Caenorhabditis elegans: one gene and its partners. The protein of the gene in region 1 interacts with the protein of each later gene in a pairwise test. Each region holds a gene or a part of one and is shown in the gene's direction. Other genes may lie near its edges. The genes, in order: mig-15, ahcy-1, trmt-6 and F36A2.10.

Evidence for each region.
Region 2: the proteins of mig-15 (region 1) and ahcy-1 interact in a two-hybrid assay, tested with the Caenorhabditis elegans proteins (one large-scale study listed by BioGRID).
Region 3: the proteins of mig-15 (region 1) and trmt-6 interact in a two-hybrid assay, tested with the Caenorhabditis elegans proteins (one large-scale study listed by BioGRID).
Region 4: the proteins of mig-15 (region 1) and F36A2.10 interact in a two-hybrid assay, tested with the Caenorhabditis elegans proteins (one large-scale study listed by BioGRID).

What each region holds. Positions count from the first base shown.
Region 1 is NC_003284.9:10,422,510-10,430,582, reverse strand, and holds the start of mig-15 (Serine/threonine-protein kinase mig-15), read left to right. Parts: upstream 1-2,008; coding exon 2,009-2,053; intron 2,054-2,431; coding exon 2,432-2,599; intron 2,600-2,894; coding exon 2,895-3,092; intron 3,093-3,139; coding exon 3,140-3,380; intron 3,381-4,000; coding exon 4,001-4,144; intron 4,145-4,343; coding exon 4,344-4,731; intron 4,732-4,819; coding exon 4,820-4,940; intron 4,941-5,184; coding exon 5,185-5,742; intron 5,743-6,051; coding exon 6,052-6,138; intron 6,139-6,240; coding exon 6,241-6,351; intron 6,352-6,434; coding exon 6,435-6,461; intron 6,462-6,771; coding exon 6,772-7,254; intron 7,255-7,301; coding exon 7,302-7,637; intron 7,638-7,714; coding exon 7,715-7,793; intron 7,794-7,841; coding exon 7,842-8,062; intron 8,063-8,073. UniProt on the Caenorhabditis elegans protein: Involved in cell migration and signal transduction. Important in several developmental processes including epidermal development, Q neuroblast migrations and muscle arm targeting.
Region 2 is NC_003279.8:6,834,523-6,838,640, forward strand, and holds ahcy-1 (Adenosylhomocysteinase), read left to right. Parts: upstream 1-1,946; 5' UTR 1,947-1,962; coding exon 1,963-2,184; intron 2,185-2,252; coding exon 2,253-3,008; intron 3,009-3,076; coding exon 3,077-3,412; 3' UTR 3,413-3,618; downstream 3,619-4,118. Other genes in the region: dpf-3 (Dipeptidyl Peptidase Four (IV) family), read left to right, coding at 3,832-4,005, 4,052-4,118. UniProt on the Caenorhabditis elegans protein: Adenosylhomocysteine is a competitive inhibitor of S-adenosyl-L-methionine-dependent methyl transferase reactions; therefore adenosylhomocysteinase may play a key role in the control of methylations via regulation of the intracellular concentration of adenosylhomocysteine.
Region 3 is NC_003279.8:9,141,471-9,146,483, reverse strand, and holds trmt-6 (tRNA (adenine(58)-N(1))-methyltransferase non-catalytic subunit TRM6), read left to right. Parts: upstream 1-2,107; 5' UTR 2,108-2,114; coding exon 2,115-2,183; intron 2,184-2,267; coding exon 2,268-2,350; intron 2,351-2,901; coding exon 2,902-3,276; intron 3,277-3,390; coding exon 3,391-3,616; intron 3,617-3,665; coding exon 3,666-3,863; intron 3,864-3,919; coding exon 3,920-4,117; intron 4,118-4,233; coding exon 4,234-4,404; 3' UTR 4,405-4,513; downstream 4,514-5,013. Other genes in the region: ZK858.6 (Transmembrane 9 superfamily member), read left to right, coding at 852-854, 887-991, 4,961-5,013.
Region 4 is NC_003279.8:8,818,918-8,821,731, reverse strand, and holds F36A2.10 (DNA-binding protein), read left to right. Parts: upstream 1-1,628; 5' UTR 1,629-1,653; coding exon 1,654-2,063; intron 2,064-2,109; coding exon 2,110-2,155; 3' UTR 2,156-2,233; downstream 2,234-2,814. Other genes in the region: F36A2.9 (Lipase_GDSL domain-containing protein), read right to left, coding at 753-848, 1,002-1,118, 1,178-1,288, 1,355-1,459, 2,305-2,511, 2,557-2,671, 2,725-2,814.

The sequences.
Region 1 (8,073 bases):
GTTTTCTTTTTTTTTATAAGAGTGATTCAGACCGGATTTTTTAGTAAAATTGTATTTTTAGTTCAATGTTATACTAAAATAATTTTATATTATTGTCTATTTTAAAACGTAACTGTAAAAAATTCGCATTCATTGTTTTTCATTTGAAGAATGTCTCTGAAAATTCTTTAATTCAAAAATGGCAATATTCACATTGTTGTTTTTTGTCGAAAATAAAAAAAGTTGCGGGAACTTCGAAATGCGAATCAAAACTTGTCGTATTTTCTTGATCATTTTTACACACCATGTAATTATTTTGCTACTTCATATTTTAATTCAGTATCATAAGCTATAAAAATTAATGGTACTTGTGTATTATTTCCCCTTAATTTTTTGAAATTGATTATTAAATAAAAACGTGTGGAGTTTTTTTTTTCATTTTTAGGCATAGTAAATTACCATTTCTAAATTAATAAGCTACAAAGATATTCAGAAAAAGATATAGCTTATAAGCTGTCAAAGCAAAGCATTCGGTGCAGGACATGGAAAACTTTTAAATGAAAACACGTGTTTTGAAATTAACATATATTTCAAAATATGAATTCTACATCAGAACATGTTGTGAGCAATTCAAAATTTTCAATAAATAATAATTTTGGCAATAGATTCATGTTGTAAATTAAAAAAATCAGGCAATATATTAATATTTTATGGTTTTTTGATACAATCCTTTTTTTCTTCTGAAAAAATTGTTCCCGAAATGGATACTATGTAGGCTAAATAAAACGTTTCCACAAGAATAGTTTTTGTTTGTAATTTAAAACCTCTCCTTCTTTTTGCAACGTCTAAATAGGAAATATACCTCAATGTGCCATAACCTTGTTTTTTTTAGCCATGAGCGTCACTAGGATCTAGTGGTCGTAGAGACAAATACCATCGCTAAATCATTGTTAATCGGCCATTGGAGAGAATATTCGTTAAATTGATACATCTACCCCTTACTCGATCCCCCTTCATTTATTCACCATCATTAATATCTATTTAGAAGATAAGCATCATTTCATCTCAAATCAATATAATAAATGTAGATCACCAAACAGAGGCATCCCGCTATTCTCACTCAGTCGGCAGCTATATGTGATGCTGCTGTTGCCTTTTTGTGTGTCTTCTTTGGGAATGGACAGGCGCTGTTTCCATTCTTCTCCACCAGCGTCTTCTTCATTCTTCGTCCGTCCTTCATCATTATTCGGGAAAACGAGCGGGGGAATGAAATGGAGAGAGAGAGAAAGGCGGACGTCGGAGGCCTTCTTTTCGGAATCAAGGCGAATTTCTTGCGGCCTTCGATCATCCCTCACTCTCTTTCACAACCTTGTCTGCTTGACCCGATGATGTCTTTTGACCGCTTGTCAATTCAAATTTGCACGTCTTGATTGCTATCAGAAAAATTTAAAATTGCGAGCATTTTTAGGAAATTTTTTTTGCAGCAACAGAATATGAGTTATCCTATTCAACGGTTGTCTGAAACTTAAAAATTGATAATTCTTTCCAACATTATAAGAAAAATATATTGTTTTTGCAGAAAAAACACTTAAGACTTTTCTACTTTTTGAACACATTTAAACAATTTGTGCATTCTCATTTTTTTCCTCTATTTCCCGGCTGTGTAACAATGCTGGACGCGTCCGTCCTCCTTGTGCCGTCCACTGGTCTTTCTCCGACGTCTTTGATGATGCATTCCTTATCGATCTAATTTTCTTTATCACAACATGTGTTTTTTTTTCTGAAACAGAATGGTTGCTTCGTAATAATCTTGGAAACAATATTTTATTTTGAGTCTTTAGATGAAAACAATATATTTCTGTTTTTGTTACTTTTGATATAATCTGAAAATTTTTTTCTGTTTTGTTATACTTCCTGTTTCTTGTAATTTACAATAAGTGTTTTTTTTTTCAGATTCAAGTTAAATTCAAGGAGTCATTGTGTGGTTTAAGTGTCGGCTTGCTCCAAGCCGCTCACAGCACCCAAAACCATGTCGTCATCAGGACTCGACGAGATTGATTTGAATTCTCTAAGGGTGAGTATTCGTGACCACCCATACATCAAGTAGAATGCGCACAATGAATTTACTGAAAAATGTTAATTTTTCTATTCAGTCTGGGTTATCGCCCGTGAAATTAATGGTGTTTCTATAGAAAACTACCTTTTGAAGTTGAATGAAACAATCAATTTTTGTCAGCTTTAAATTTTTGTCTCAAAACTAAGAAAAAGTGTATTTCGCAACATTCACACACACACAGACGAAGTCCCACTTTCTTTCTTCGAGTGTGTGTGTGTGGTGTAACAATTTTAAAAAATCATGTTGCTCTCTTCTCAGAAATATTTACAGCTGAGTAGGGGAAAGAAAATGCGAAACTACACCAAACAACACGGAAATCACAATGATTTTTTTCAGGACCCGGCTGGAATCTTCGAGCTAATTGAGGTTGTTGGAAATGGAACTTACGGGCAAGTGTATAAGGGTCGACACGTTAAAACAGCGCAACTTGCTGCAATCAAAATTATGAATATCAACGAAGATGAAGAAGATGAAATTAAGTTAGAAATTAATATGCTAAAGAAGGTATGTGTTTTGGTTAAACAAAAATATTCCTTTCAAAATTCCCCAAATATGAGAAATGGAATTAAACCTATTTTCGAATTATTAAGTTGTCCAGAATTTTAAATCAGTTAAAAAGAAAAAAAGAAATATCTAATTTCTGATAAATACATTTATAAATTATATTTGTATGAATTGATGAAAACTTAAAAACGAAAGCTATTTTGAAGACAGTTTTGAAATAGTGTGAAAAAGAAATTTCAAAAAAAGGAGAACACATCGATGAGGTCTTACACGGAAGAATCAAATTGATTTGCAGCACTCCCACCACCGGAACGTAGCCACTTATTATGGTGCTTTCATCAAAAAGCTGCCCTCTTCGACCGGAAAACACGATCAATTATGGCTGGTAATGGAGTTTTGTGGAAGTGGTTCTATCACCGATCTTGTAAAAAACACAAAGGGAGGCTCTTTGAAAGAAGAATGGATTGCATATATTTGTAGAGAAATTTTGAGGGTTTGTCTTTACCGATTCTCAGACATTTTCAAATGTATTTCTTATAGGGACTTTACCACTTGCATCAAAGCAAAGTTATCCATCGTGACATAAAAGGTCAAAATGTGCTTCTTACGGACAGTGCTGAGGTGAAGCTGGTAGATTTCGGAGTATCTGCACAACTTGACAAGACAGTTGGAAGAAGAAACACATTTATTGGAACACCATACTGGATGGCTCCCGAAGTTATTGCATGTGATGAAAGCCCTGAAGCTACTTATGATTCACGTTCGGATTTATGGTCTTTGGGTAAGTAATGACGATGTGTAATATAAAAAGTTTTTATAAGGCTTGGTATCAGCATTTCACTGATTTAAACACTGAATTTAGCAACGCACCCAAAATATATTTCTCAATTTTATTAATTTAATTCTACTTACAATAATAATCAAATTGAGGTAAATTGCAGAAAACTAACGCTGATTTCCTTCTCTAGAAAGCTGACAACAAAAAAATATGGCTATCAGCTTACTATTTCGAGAAACTAATTTTTTGGAAAACTTTAGCTAAATGAACACTGAAAACTAAGTTCTTTTCTAATTTGAAACTTTTAATATACATATTCAACGTCATTTAATTTCCAAAAGTGTTCTAGTAGAGCTATAGTCTGTTCTTGAACATACTATTTTGATGTTTTTTCTCACTATTCCAATATTTGCTCCGTCTCCTTCAATTCCCTCAACATATCTCCCTCCGGACATTTTCGTTGTGTTTGTGTCTGCTTTCTTTCATTATTTGCATTTATGTGTAAATGGGCACAAAATTCGTAGTACAACAGCATTAAAAAAGCAAAAAAAAACCAAACAGGGGTTTTGTATAAATGGAAAATGACTCATGGAGTTTCAAAATCTTATTGTTATCCAATTTAGGAATCACGGCATTAGAAATGGCGGAAGGTCATCCACCGTTGTGCGATATGCATCCGATGAGAGCGTTATTTTTAATTCCAAGAAATCCGCCGCCAAAGTTGAAAAGAAATAAGAAGTGGACCAAGAAGTTCGAGACTTTTATTGGTGAGTTTTTTTGCAGATAATTTTTCAGTCCGATTATATGAAACAATAAATTGTAAAAATGTGTCGCTATTCGTATTTTTGAAACAGTTTTGCAAATGGGTTTTTGCTGAAATTTTAAGGAAGCACGCACGGGCAAATAGAGTACATTCCAAACAATATTTTCAAGTCTAAATGATGCAGGTCAAGTTTTAAATTTCAGAGACTGTACTTGTGAAGGATTACCATCAAAGGCCCTACACTGGAGCCCTACTTCGTCATCCATTTATCAAAGAACAACCACATGAGCAAACGATCCGGCATTCAATCAAAGAGCATATTGACCGAAATCGGCGGGTGAAGAAGGATGATGCAGACTACGAGTATTCCGGCAGTGAAGATGATGAACCATCTCCGAACAATCGTGGTCCTTCAATGGGCATTCGAGATGACTCGGAGAGCAGTTCAATGATTCCAATGGATAACACATTGCGTAAAGGCTTTCAAAAATTGCAAGAGAGTAGTCGTGGTTTTGCAGAACCAGGTGCTCAGCAGCTGAGGAGACTGCCCCAGCAACCAGCACCAGCTCCATTCCAATATCAGCAGTCTCGGTATGTCACCACTTTCACTCAATACTTTTCACAGTTCAGATTTGACGTTGTTCTCTTAATAGTTTCATTGTAAATTTGAAACCTTCAGATACGTTGAGCCAAGACGAGAATCATCCGAAGTCAAACTGAGGGCTGTTTCATCTAGAGGAGCTGCCGATGGTCCACGTCATTCGCCAGCATCAAGGCCACGGCCCGTGAGTCATCATCAGGTTTTGTTTTCTTACCTTCCTTTTAATATTGTCTAAACAGTCATTCAGTACTAATAATATACTAATAATAACAAACATTAACAAAGTTGAAGCATGTAGGGTATGAACGATTCAAATAACCAGTTGAGGTTTTTTTTAATAATAAAAATAATGGAGGCTATACAGAAAAAATGTTTGTTTACCTGGCTTAAAAGTGTTTGTAGTGTAGTTTTAAAAGTTTTAAATAACGTAAATAAATTTTCAGCGATCTCCACAACAATCCCATCCTGCAGCCCCACACTTGGCGGATTTAGCAAACTATGAAAAAAGAAGACGATCGGAACGAGAAGAGCGACGGGAAAGAGAACGTCAGGCTCACCACGCTATGCCGATTGCACGTGTTTCTGCAAGTGTACCTGCTCCACAACAGTCTCGAAAAATGTCAGAACCCCTTCTGATCACTCATGTAAAACCAGAAGATCTTGACGTGCTCGCCAGTGAGCTTTCTAAAATGGGCGGTCATCACAATGGACGCAGTCGCGAGGAGAGCATGAGCCCACCGCCACCGGCGCCACCACCGCGTGAGGCATCGATCTCGTCTATCACAGACACGATTGACGTGGGTGAATTGGATAATGGAGCAGATGCGGAGTGGGACGATTTGAAGGACATTATGATGAACGGAGAAGGCACACTGCGCGGCCCGAATAAGCCGCTTCCGCCAACACCGACAGATGGCGAGAATACACTTGTGTCAGATGTGCGTCGCAATGGAAATGGAAATAGTGGCCATGGGGCTTACAAGGGAAAGAAAATTCCAGAGGTTGGTAGTGTGAGATGAGCGAAAATATATACTCGTTTCTTTATTTTTTTTCAATTATCTAAATTGGTGCATTTCAAAAATCGATAATATCAATAAGATGCTCACTTTAAAAATTAAATAAATATGAAAAAGCCAATTAAAAAAATAAAAACACTACTGTTTCTGTAGCAGCTATTTTCAAAAAATTATAACTGGCAATAACATAAAGGTGCTTTTAAAATAAAAGGAACTGCCACGACGCCGGGAAAATTTGAGATAAGCTTTCACAACTCAATTTAAAACGTATTTAAAAAACAGAATATTTTCTAGATTCGCCCTGGAATTATCTCTCTTGACGACGACGACAGCGACTCGGACAACGAGGAAGGCAACGAGCCCCTTATGTTCAAACCAATTGTACGTTGTCCCTTCTCTATTTTTTTTTGGTTTCTCTCGGCCAATGTTATACATAGTGTTGACGGCTCTATACCACTCGTGAAACATCTTATTTGGTTCCAGAACGCCTCAAGCTCGCGCGGCGCCCTGCCAGATCTCTTGCCCAAATCGCCACAACTCCGCCGTCAAATAAATGACCAAACACGCCAGATGAGTGACGATCGTGCAGATGAGGTGAGTGTTTTGATTTGAGAATAATATATGTAGTGGAAACCATAAATTTGAACGATAAAACATGTAATTTTATAATTATGTAGAGCGCCTCTCTATTTGGAAGTTTTTATGTAAGTTACTCGATTTGAAATGACAGAATTTGTTGTGATTTTCCGATTTATTCCCCCTTTGGTTAAACTGTTGGTCATCTTTTCAGAAAACAAATCATCCTGTGTTTTATTGTTTTTGATGCTGGTTATTCAGTTATTTTAATTTTCGAAAGATATGTAGTTCTTCTTTGTTGCGGTTCTTTTTTTATTGTTTCAATGTCTTTGGATATATTTTTGATGATCAAAAATCAAAATACAAATTTTTGTTGAAGTGATTATATTTTGTCAGAAGATAAATTTTAATAAATAATAAAACATGATTTGATTTCAGCAACCAAATGGATTCCAAAACTCTGACAGCCGTTCATCAATTCAGCATTCATTTTCGAATCGTGATCGCGAAAAGTCATTTGTTGGATATTTTGGTGGTGGCGCCGGAGCCGGTGGTGGCACAGTAAATCGACCAGGGAGACCGCAAGACATTAACCAAGTTCAAGTTAATGTGACACCAAATTCTAATGGAACACCAGCTGAGAACGATGCTCCAGAAATCAGGAAGTACAAGAAAAAGTTCAGTGGAGAGATTTTGTGTGCAGCTCTCTGGGGAGTTAACTTGCTTATTGGAACAGACAGTGGACTTATGCTTTTGGATCGAAGTGGACAAGGAAAAGTTTACCCGCTCATCAGTCGGAGAAGGTTTGATCAGATGACGGTTCTCGAGGGACAAAATATTCTCGCAACAATTTCCGGAAGAAAAAGGAGAATCAGAGTGTATTATTTGAGCTGGCTCCGTCAGAAAATTTTAAGAACAGAGGTATGGTTTATAAACATTTTGGATATATCTAATTTTATGTCTTATAGGGTGCTGGAAGCGCCAATACGACTGAAAAAAGAAATGGATGGGTTAATGTTGGAGATTTGCAAGGAGCCATTCATTTCAAAATTGTTCGCTATGAAAGGATAAAGTTCTTGGTAGTTGGTCTAGAGTCGTCAATTGAGATTTATGCGTGGGCACCGAAGCCATACCATAAGTTCATGAGTTTCAAGTCATTCGGATCTTTGAGTCATGTTCCTTTGATTGTCGACTTGACAGTTGAAGACAATGCAAGACTCAAGGTTCTTTATGGATCGACAGGTGGATTCCATGCAATTGATTTGGATTCTGCAGCGGTCTATGATATTTATACGCCAGCACAGGTATGATAACTTCAGAATAAGAATTGAAAACAAAGATGAATCATTTAAATGTTAGCCTTTTATTTTTAATTGTTTAGAGCGGTCAAACTACGACTCCACATTGCATAGTTGTTCTTCCAAACTCCAATGGAATGCAACTCCTTCTCTGTTATGACAGTGAGTTTTCAAAAATAGTATTCACTTCTTTATCTATTCTTATTTCAGATGAGGGAGTATATGTTAACACGTACGGAAGGATGACAAAGAATGTAGTCCTGCAATGGGGAGAAATGCCAAGCAGTGTGGCGTACATTTCAACGGGTCAGATTATGGGATGGGGCAACAAGGCGATTGAGATTCGATCCGTTGACACTGGCCATTTGGATGGAGTGTTTATGCACAAGAAAGCTCAGAAGCTGAAATTCTTGTGTGAGAGAAATGATAAAGTAAGCTTTTT
Region 2 (4,118 bases), on another chromosome or scaffold:
AAATTATAAATTGTTAAATAACTTTCTTAAAAGATTTTTTCAGGAAATCTCTCCTTTTTACCTTTCACTAATATTCTTTTACTCCTTTTTTGTTTCTCGTGCGCCGATTGTTAACAAGATCACCATGATATAATCATTGAGATAAGAGAAGAAACATAAAATATGAGACATTGTGAATGGCGTGATGTGTAGCTGATCAGCTGTCTGGAATTCCAGATGAGGTATACGGTCGAAGTGGGTCTAGAAAAATTCGCCTTGCCAAAATTTCCGATACTAAATTACAAAAATCATTTTCCGGGAAATAGATATCTCAGAGAAACTGCACCGGATTCTCAGCATTCGAGGATTTTGGAAAAACCAAAAGAAATTTTATTTGGAAAATTAAATGAAGTCTATTCTAGGAGATTAAAACATTAAAAAGTTTATAGAATTCTATTAGACATTAAAACCACCTGAACTTTGCAAAATTGATAAGCGAAACCTAATTGTCTACGAAATTGGCGGCGGAGGGCATTTCGAAAAAAGAACTACGATAAGAAGTGACCTTGGATGATAGAAAGTAAGAGATACATAGATCTCTAATAGATTCTTCTAGAATTTAACGAGATTTGCAAAGAAAATTTTAGTTTTAATTGTAATGAGCAAAATTATATTTCAGAACACAGTTATATTTCAGAACATATCACTTAGAAATTTTGAAACTGTCCCGGTCGACGTCTTGCATGAAAAATTACATTATCCAAATTGAGGCGCCACATTGTAAAAAATGTGTCAAAAATAGAAAATTAATTTTTGAATTTCCCTCGCTTTCCTCTTTCTCTGCTTTCTCTCAAGCTCTTATCATTCCTGCACATCTAACATAGAAAAGTACACAGAAGCGGAGAATGAGAGACGCAGCACATCCACGACGAAAAGTGGGCGGAGACTGATGTGGCACAGGCATTTGGGTGCTATAAAAGGCCGCCGTTGGGCCAGAAATAACGCCGTAGGAATACGGGCTAGCAAAAAAAAAAGAAAGTGATTTTTCCCTTTCAGACTGAAAAGGTACTGAATCATTCTAGAACAAGAGGAAAGTGGGGGAAATCTATCATCGACGAATCCTAAAATTTAATCTGAAACGTGATATCCTTTTCTAGGTCGTACAGAATCTTCAAAGAAATCTGCGGTGGTGTGGAATTCAGGAAGGTCACTTTACCAAAGCTATCGGCCAAAGTAATCTTACATTTTACAAGGCTATCAAGATTTTATCGCCAATTCTCCATAAATAACGCTGTCTTGACGGTTGACGAGCATCGCAGGATGCATATCTCACCTCATGTGTCAATACGTTTTTTTCTTAAATTTTCTTTAGTAATTTTCAAATAAAAATCATCGTTTCGCGGCGAGTAAGTCCAAATTTTAGGCCTTCGTGGCGGGACCCACTGAGAAAAATCACTGCGCCTTTGATCGAAACAGTAGAAATTTCGAAAAAGCTTTCTTTTTGGGAAAAGTTTTTGCAAAGTTCCTCGCTTTGTTTTATGTTTAAAAGACCGACTAGTTGTAAATTTCTTCGTCATGGTTCCAGATTTAATAGATTTTCCCACATATTAAACTCTAAAACCTAAAAAAGTTCTCGTCCACTAACTATCTTCCGTATTTTCGGGTTTACTTATTTACACATGGATTATTGTTTTTTTCCATTTAAAAATTGATGTTTTGGCAATCCACGTAAGCCAAGGTTGTTTTTGTTTATTTTCGATTCTCTGATAAACAAAAACAACTTATAAATTGGAAAATAACCTTCTCACAATCAGTTTTTTTTTCTTCACAAACTCTTGTTTTATCCTTTTCACAGCCGAACTTTCAAAAAAGTGTCTCATTTTTTTTCTTTATTTCCGTCTTATGGACTTCTTCGCTTCTCTTCCCTATCCGTCCTGCAGATTAAAATAAATTTCTAATTATTTCAGGTAAAACACATTCGCAATGGCCCAGTCTAAGCCAGCTTACAAGGTCGCTGATATCAAGCTCGCCGATTTCGGACGCAAGGAGATCATCCTTGCTGAGAATGAGATGCCAGGACTTATGGCTATGCGCTCCAAGTACGGACCATCCCAGCCATTGAAGGGAGCTAGAATCGCCGGATGTCTCCACATGACCATCCAAACCGCTGTTCTCATTGAGACTCTTACTGCTCTCGGAGCTGAGGTAAATCTTGTTTTTTGAAAGAATTAGTATTAAAATAAGTTGGTTTGAAAAATCGAAACTTTTTCCAGGTCCAATGGTCTTCCTGCAACATCTTCTCCACCCAAGATCACGCTGCTGCCGCCATTGCCCAGACCGGAGTCCCAGTCTACGCCTGGAAGGGAGAGACCGACGAGGAATACGAATGGTGCATTGAGCAAACTATCGTCTTCAAGGATGGACAACCACTCAACATGATCCTTGATGATGGAGGTGATCTTACCAACTTGGTTCACGCCAAGTACCCACAATACCTCGCTGGAATCCGCGGACTTTCCGAGGAGACCACCACTGGAGTCCACAACTTGGCTAAGATGCTCGCCAAGGGAGACCTTAAGGTTCCAGCTATCAACGTCAACGACTCTGTCACCAAGTCCAAGTTCGACAACTTGTACGGAATCCGCGAGTCTCTCCCAGACGGAATCAAGCGCGCCACTGATGTTATGCTCGCCGGAAAGGTAGCCGTTGTCGCTGGATACGGAGATGTCGGAAAGGGATCTGCTGCTTCCCTCAAGGCTTTCGGTTCCCGTGTCATTGTCACCGAGATCGATCCAATCAATGCTCTTCAAGCCGCTATGGAAGGATACGAAGTGACCACCCTCGAGGAGGCTGCACCAAAGGCTAACATCATTGTCACCACCACTGGATGCAAGGACATCGTTACCGGAAAGCACTTCGAGCTTCTTCCAAATGACGCTATCGTCTGCAACGTTGGTCACTTCGATTGCGAGATTGACGTCAAATGGCTCAACACCAATGCCACCAAGAAGGACACCATCAAGCCACAGGTAAGAAAATGTTCAGAATTAGGATGAATTCACAATCATCGATAGAAGTTTGAACCAACTTTTTTCAGGTTGACCGTTACACCCTCAAGAACGGACGTCACGTCATCCTCCTTGCCGAAGGACGTCTTGTCAACCTTGGATGTGCCACCGGACATCCATCTTTCGTCATGTCCAACTCCTTCACCAACCAAGTTCTCGCTCAAGTTGAGCTCTGGACCAAGTTCGGAACTCCACAAGAATACAAGCTCGGACTCTACGTTCTTCCAAAAACCCTTGACGAGGAGGTCGCTTATCTTCACTTGGCTCAATTGGGAGTTAAGCTTACTAAGCTTTCCGACGAGCAAGCTTCATACCTTGGAGTTCCAGTTGCCGGACCATACAAGCCAGACCACTACAGATATTAATTTTGTTGGTTCTACCCCATACGGATATTTTTTTAACTGTTTTAAATTGTATTGCCCTCAAACTTCATATGATCTTGAACTGGTTGTATTGTTCCCCATCTACCCGCTTTTCCCCCAAATACATAATCGCCTGATTTAGTCGTTTTTCTTCAACTCGTTGATTTGGTTCTGTTGTTTGTCTTTTGGACATAAATGTTTTATGGAGTAACTTTGACGATTGTTTGAGAAATTATTCTGAAAACGTTTGATTAGGCGTGAGTTTATCGAATTTTCAGATCTACGCCCGGGAAATTTCAAGCAGGGAAAAACAAATTTTAAATTTGTCGGGGTGAAGGGCGCTCTATTGATAAATAAGTTCTTTATTTCTCTCAACGCTTCACTCATTTCGTGTTTCACTTTTTATATTTACAGAAATTCCCATGATGTTCAATTTTTATCAGTTTCTCTATAACCTGCAAAATGTTTCCCCATTTATTGATTTTTCAGTACTAAAACAACTTACCCACACGAAAATGAGGGAAAATGAGCCGGCAAGATTTGAGACTCGTTCATTCAGTCAATTAATAGATCATGCAAGAAGTTGGAAGACGGAGGTTCGAAAAATGATTTAAAAAATATTATTTCGATAAACTGATTCAGGTGCGCGGCATGACAACACAAGGATTCACAAAAATTAGCCTCATGCGTGCAGAAAAAGATCGTCTCA
Region 3 (5,013 bases), on another chromosome or scaffold:
AGTTCAAAAGTTCTAACCGACCTCAAGTAATAGTTATAGACCTAGGCTCCTAGAAGCAATGAGAATGAATTTGAATGTTCACAAAATGACCAGTTCATCAAAACGTTACGAATCAGTTGGTCTCTATCACTTGGGAAACATGAGCGGGAAATGATGATAAAACTGTGAAATAAAACATGAGGTTCCGAATTTAAATACAAACTCTGATGGATTTAGTTATGCACTGTGGGAGTTATATGGGAAATCTAGACTAATGGGTGAACATACAAAAGTTCATTTTTACTTTCAGTTAGACAGGTGACAAATAATATCGGTTTGCGGTGTTCCAGTAAAATCATACATCAGATGTGATTATTTTCAGTTCGTATTGTAAGCTCTATGTACTGTTCAATACTTGAATTGGGAAGTAAAATCTGACGATATACTACAGTAATCCCTTTCTGTCATATTATCGAAAAAATACGATCGAACAATTTTCTCATAATTTATTTTTGATCTACCTTGTTGACTAGGCTCCTCCCCTTCCTTTGATAAAACAGCCACAACAAAATAACAACGGCATCAAGATTGGGAGCGGAGTCAAGTTCAACAGGTAGATCAAAATTATGAGAAATTTGTGCGATCGTATTTTTTCGATAATATAAGTTCATTATTACCAGGTTTTCTAAATTTAAGTCGAAATTTCAGGAACTTTTCTATTTTCGGTAAACAAAAATAATACGTTTTGAACATGTGTGATAACCGGATTGAGAGAAAAAGTTGAAAAAGATCACAAGACTCCAAAGTTCCGTGGAAAACCTCACTGATAACGTAACCTTGATCAGAACATTCGGGTATCTTTTATAACAATAATGGTTGGCAGTTGGCAAACAAGCAATCTTTAAAGATCGCCTTCACACACTTTTATTATCGTCACTACCACTTTCTATCTCTATTTGATGATTTATCGTCTTATCACAATTTTTCGAGAGACCGCCCAAATCGCGGATCGGTGGGTTGAAAGTCTTTAAAAAGCAAATAAGATGAGTTTAGGGTATTGTTAATAATTCTTTGTATGATAGAGTGGAGAATAGAAAAGTTGAGTAGAAGACGAAAAACTAGTTTTTTCTTTTGAAATGCGGCAATTATCAACAAAATATTGTTGACAAGGAAATTGATTTTTTTTCAAAAATAAAATGGAAACCAATTCAAAAATGTTATATTTACAATCTTATTTAAAGAGAAACAAATCAAAAAGATACAGAGAAATTGTTCGTCAAAGAATGATCGTTCACTAAATATCAACTATCAATTATGAACACACGTTGAATTTCATCTCGTCAGTTGATCGCTCTACAGTTTCTTCTCTGTGTACTTGTTCCTCTAAACTGTGACATTGTAATTGGATACAGAAGACACAATACACATCAAAAATTTTTCTAAAAGAAATACCAAATTTCCCATAATAATCGGTGATTTCAGAATTATTTTAATTCAAAAAATCTGAAAATAAAAAAAAATACAGAAGAGTAACCATAAAAATAAATTTTATATTAAATTTTGTTTAAATTGACGAAAAAAAGCATTAAAAAAATTTGTCCAAACTGAATAAAAATTTCCAATATTTTAAGCTATTTTTTGAAAAACTGCATTTTTTAGAAATATCGAAAGAAAAACTAAAATATTTCGGTTTTTAGTAAAAAATTTTTAAAAACCCTCACCCTGGGCTCAATTGATGTTTTTGTTTCGAAAAACATATTTCTGGGTGCAAAAAAAACATTTTTGTTGAATGCTTTTTGTCTTATTCAGTTTTTTTTCTCAAAAAATACACTTAGCTTACAGTCCGGAATCCAATTGCATCTGAATAGTCCGAGAAAGCTATTCCAAATGTTTTGAACTCAAAAACTGCCCAGTTTAAAAGTACAAAAAACTATTTCAAAAAAGATGTAAAAGTTCAACTTTAAACCAATTCAATACCTCTCCTAACAAATATTCGAATATTTGCAATCTCTCATTTTCCCTCTTTTATCACATTTTTCCCGATATTCTTTGACTACTTTATCGTTCGTTCTCTGTTGCCTTTCGTAGCCGTCTCGTCGATTTTCAATTGAATATTCAAATTTTTCAGATCAAACATGGAAACCGAACCTGCGGAAACATCACAAAAACTCATAAAAAGTGGAGAGTATCTTATCGTGCAAAAGGTATTTTTTGAATTGGAAAAAGTTCAATTTTCACATTAAAATTGAATTGAAGAACAAAATTACAGCAAAAAAAATAATTTTCAGATTGATGGCGAACAAAGTCGCATAGTCCGGTTTACTCCAAAGCAAAAGATTCTCATTGAGAAGCTGAAGTTTGTAGCCGATAGGTAAGGTTTCCAGTTCTAAAATTAATTATAATTTTCCGAATAACTTCCAATTTTCGAGCTCTTTCAAATGAAACTTTGATCACAAAAAAACCACAGTGACGTCAAAGTGCATTCTAAACATAAAACACGTGCCCCGTTTTTCAAAAGTCACATATCAATTCTCGCCCCTTGTCACTAACCGATTATAAATTTTTCTTTTTTTTCGACGATTAAAAATCGTTGTGCAAACACTTTGACAAACAGTTTGATTAATTCAAAGAAAAGGGCAGCAGACCCTACGTTCAATTGATTCAACTGATAATATTAATGGGGTTAAAGTGGTTTTTTCTATTGGAAAAGTAAACTGAATGCTCTGCAAACTATTTTGTGGTTTTTCTTATATACGTCCAAAATACCCAGAACCGTTCCTCCTTCTTTAAGATCTATAAAAATTCGAAAACTTGTAAATTCACTAAAAAAAAAAGGTTTTGGATAGATTTTAGGCCGGCACTGTATGTGGTACCCGAACAATGATGGTAAAAGATACTGTAATGAAAGAATGATATTTTCAGTGCATTTGGAAAGCCTCATGGTCTATTCGAAGTATCCAATAATCAATGCCTTCCAATGTCAGTTGATCGTCTAATTGAAGAACTTCAACTTCAAGAAGCATCCGTTGCCACCTCATCCATAGATCCTGAAGTAACAGAACCATCGGAACCATCTTTAGATCCACGTGTTGTTATCGCGCCTTCAGCACTTAAACTTGAGCCCGAACAAAAACGTCAAAAATTGGAAATGGATGCCGTATTGGAAATGAAGAAGCAAGGAGTCAGTGGACAGGAAATGGTTGCCAAACTTGTTGAAGGTTCAGCATCATTTCAGACAAGAACTGTCTTTTCACAGAGCAAATATATCAAACGAAAAGCCAAAAAACATAGTGATCGGTACGTCAGCTATTGTTTTTAAATTTAAATTATTTTTGAATTTTAAGCTTTTGAGTTTTTTATTGATAAAAGTGGGGTTTTGCCGATTTCTACTTCTGCGAATAATAATTTCAGAGTATTAATCCTCCGTCCAACCATCCGTCTTCTGGCTAAAGCTTATTATTTGAAAGATCCTGATCGTCTTGCGATGCTTCGTGCTGATCAATTAGCATTAATTCTTCAAATGGCAGGGCTTCACCATGGAAAGAATGTCGTCGTATTTGAACAAACACTTGGACTTATTACCTCTGCAGTTATTGAAAGACTCGGTGGAACTGGTGCTTGTATTCATATTCATAGGGTTTATTCTTCGAAAAAAAACATCCTTTCAAAATATATTGGTTTTACAGGGTGCGGTAGCTCAATCAATTCCCTGTGTTCATTCTATGAATTACGATGATAACACACTTTCCACATTTTTACCGGTTCGAATTAAGTGTGTTCTAGCAGGCAAACATCTGCCATATGACAATAACCGAAAGGCTGTAAATGGGGATGATGATAATTTGGAGGAAGTCAATGGAGATAAGGAACCTGAGAAAATCGAGGTAATTGAAAAATTAGGACAACGTTTTAGATGGAAATAAATTTTTAAATTTTATAGGATCAAGATCTAGAGGCTCTTGCTCGCCGAAATGATCGTTTGGATCGGGAGAAGAGAGGAATCGATTTGATTAATGATGAACAAATTCATTCTTTAATTATTGGAAGTCGTACTGTCGATCCTATCAGTGTTTTGGAGCTTCTTTATCCCAAACTGGCACCATCTGGGACGATTGTCATCTACTCTCCTCATCAAAATGTAAAAATTATATAAAATATTATCTTTTTTTCACATTAAAGTGACCAGATTACATTTTAACTGAATTCTGGCTCCAGTTACTCAAAAAACCTTTTAAAAACTATTTTCTGTTCCAGATCCTCATCTCAGCATACGATTGGTTGTCAAAGCGTCAAACAATCAATTTAGTTCTTACTGATCAAATGTGTCGTGTAATGCAAGTTCTACCTGATAGAACTCATCCGTTAATGGCTCAGCACGTCGCTGGCGGACATATTCTCACTGGAATCAAAGTTATTGACCAATAATTTATTATTATTTTTGTTATTGTTGTTTTTCTTTTTTCAGATCACCGTATTCGCATTTTATTTGTTATTTTTTATTGTTGAATTTTCCGAGTAAATTGCATATTTCCTCAATCTTTTACACTTAAAATTTAATAATATGTACAGTTCAATACTTCAATATTTATTTTCTTTATCAAACCATTATATCTTCCTGGAAAATGCCATAATTCTGACTGAACAAATATAGGCAAAAAAGTGCGCGTCACACTTGCAAATTACCAATCCACGCCATTTAGCCCCACCCACAATACCGCGCCGCATGCGTGTCAACAAGAGATTCGCCGAGCCGATAAGCTTTTGCGCGATTATCCACGTTTCTGCTAGGCTTTTGAATATTATAAATATTTGAAATATTTTCTCTTTTAAACGGTATTTTGAGTTCTAGCTATGTATATTTCAATTTAATTAATTAATTGACGGGCTTTACAAATATTTAGGTTAAGAAATTGTCAATATATTGCTTTTAATTCCCTTCCTATTACATTTTTCTTTCAAATAAGCTCAAAATTATTTACAGCTAATGGCTTATTTACGAACTAGCACCCTTTTGGTGCTCGCCACTCTTATACC
Region 4 (2,814 bases), on another chromosome or scaffold:
CAGCTACACTATCACAACCAATCCCAACTACCTATCCTAGGATAAAGTATAGAACTACAGTAACCCTACAGTAGCCTTCTAAAAAAAGTTCTAGATTTTGAAAATAGTTTTTCCTTATTTCGGAAATATAAATATTTCGGAACATTTGAGAATCACAAGACATGAGCCTACGGCTCTGGGCAATAAGGTTTATGGCTGATATCGTGCCGAGACACACTCGGAAAACATCATGCGCCTTTAAACTGAAAAAAAAATTTCTGAGAAATTACTATATCACATGCACACTCAGAATTATTTGTTTTCTCTATCGCATATGTATAGAATACTTTTCCAAATCATATTCTTTGCTTGCATTGCATACTAAAGTATTTTAAATACAATCATTTATCACAAAGGAGAACAATGAAAAACACGGAATATAAGTGAAATGTAGGTTTTGAAGGCACAATTTTAGGGAACTCGTTAAAGTAATAAATGATATAAATGCAAAAAAACTAATCGTAAAGTACGTAGGGAACTCTGTTGACTGGAGGTTGAAAGTGACTTAGATTTTCGGAATTGATTGGCATAAATTATTTACAAATGCCATAAAACTGAGGTTGTAAAGCAAAACTGGGTTGGAATGAATTCAAGGATGTAAATGATAAATTTACAGGATAATTGGATAAAAATTACAGAGAGTGAGTGATGACAAGATGAAAATACAGCAATTACTAACTAAATATAAATCGAATGAATTCTCAATTTGAGATTTATACATCCGGGTTTCCTTCGTTGATTGTTCCTAAAAATGATTTGTGACGTCCGACAGGAATTGGTGCAAGCTGGATACCAGTTGGAGTTGTCGCCTGAAACGTAGCGATGTTTTTTAAAAGTTTTCAAACTGAATATTGCGCTTTGGAAACCGCATTTTTCGGAAACTTATTGAAAGAAAAAAACGAAATTATTTCATGAGAGCTTTGAGATATTACCATATTTAGTAATTGTTTATTTAAATTTACCTGTTCAGATTGTGCTCGAGTATTTTGTCTTGTAAGCAGCGCCTTTTGCTCTTCTTTCTGCGCTTCTTCCAGTTTTTTCTGTGGTTCCTCCACAATCTCGAACCGTCCATGATTACCCTAAAAGTATTATGTATTAACATCTATTTAAAAGTGGAATTCTAGTATAGATTGCATACCGCTTTGGATTTTTGATAAAAGAAAGTTCCGAGCAGGCAGGCAGCACAAAAGGCTGCACCTATAACCACCATTGCCACGTTGTACAAGAACCGAACCGAGCGTCGACGAGGCTACAATATCAATACATGCAGAATATACAAAATTAAAAGTAAAAGCATTCACAACATCAAACAAACCTTTGTAAAAGTCCCATTTATATCAATTAATTCTTCTTTTGCTTGTTGAAGGCTCATAGTGGAACATCTCTTGTGATTCTCATACGTTCGGAAATACGGACAACCCTTAAAAAAACAATTTTCAAAAAAAAAATTGAACCAAAAATTTGAAAAACATTTATTTATGTTTCATTTCTAATTTCTCGTGACATGGTTTAATTATTCTTTTCGCCCGGTCAAATGAATGTCTATACAAGGTCGACCAAAACCACAAAACAATCATTAGTTCGACATATTCGCATACTTGAAGAAATCCATCAATGGCAAGAAAGACTACCGTGGCAAAAGTCGGATCTAAAGGTCCAGGATCTACAAAGAAGACGATTCAAGCTGTCCGACCAACGGTCCGCACCCAAGGAGCGGTTACTCGCTCTCAGGCTGCTCTTCGTGGACATATGGGGATCACTGACTCTTCGACTTCGACCAGTTCATCTCGAATTCCGAAGGAGAAGTTGAAAAAGAAGGCATCATCTCGTAGCCGTTCAAGATCCCGTTCGAAATCTACTCGCCGCTCACGTTCAAAGTCTACTCGCTCACGTTCCAGATCGAGATCTCGAAGCCGCAGTAGCACTCGTGGAAAGAAGCGTGCTCCAAAGAAGGCAGTTACCACGAAAGCCGCTCGATCTATCTCTCCCGTCAAAGTGAAAAAGACAGAAGCCATCAAATCGCGGTTTGTTTTTTTCAGTTTTATTCTAATATTCATAGTCAATTTTCAGTGGAAGCAGCAAAACCGCCCGTCGTGTGTCTGCGGCTCACAAGTAAATAATCGTCGCTTCTTGATGGCAAGGTAGAAAAGAGATCTTTCCGGGATATAACTATGAATAAAAATATTGTGATTTGAAACGTTTTTTTTAATATGCTGTTGTTAGTGTTAATTTGAATATTTCGCATTAATAATGCATTCAACTTACAACAGAAGGACAAAAATAGTTATCCTGGGAAAGTGTAGCCGAGGAAAGATTATATAAATCTCCGCCAATCAGCCTATTCCATAACCACTTCGTCGCGTAATTATGACCTCTTCGATTCAATAATGGCTTATCTCGAATGAACAATCCACTTGGATATCTTGAGGTTATAGTTACCATTGGATAACTGATCATTCCGAATGTTGGTCTCTACAAAATGAATTAATTTTAAATTATTTACAAATCATAACTCACGGCTGTAACTCCATTCTCCACAAATTTTTGAACATCTCGCCAAACTTTGGACCATTTTCGAGACACATCATACATGAACCCTTCGGTTTGGTCTCGAGAACATGCACAACGGGCTCTAAATTTCAATTCAAATTAAATTCTCTGAATTCCCAGTTTTCAATAACTTACTTCAAAAGATTTGATTTCTGCTCGTGGAAGGATGATACATGAACAGGTCCCAAAAGAACAACCAAAGCCTTTGGAATTTCTATTTGCAGA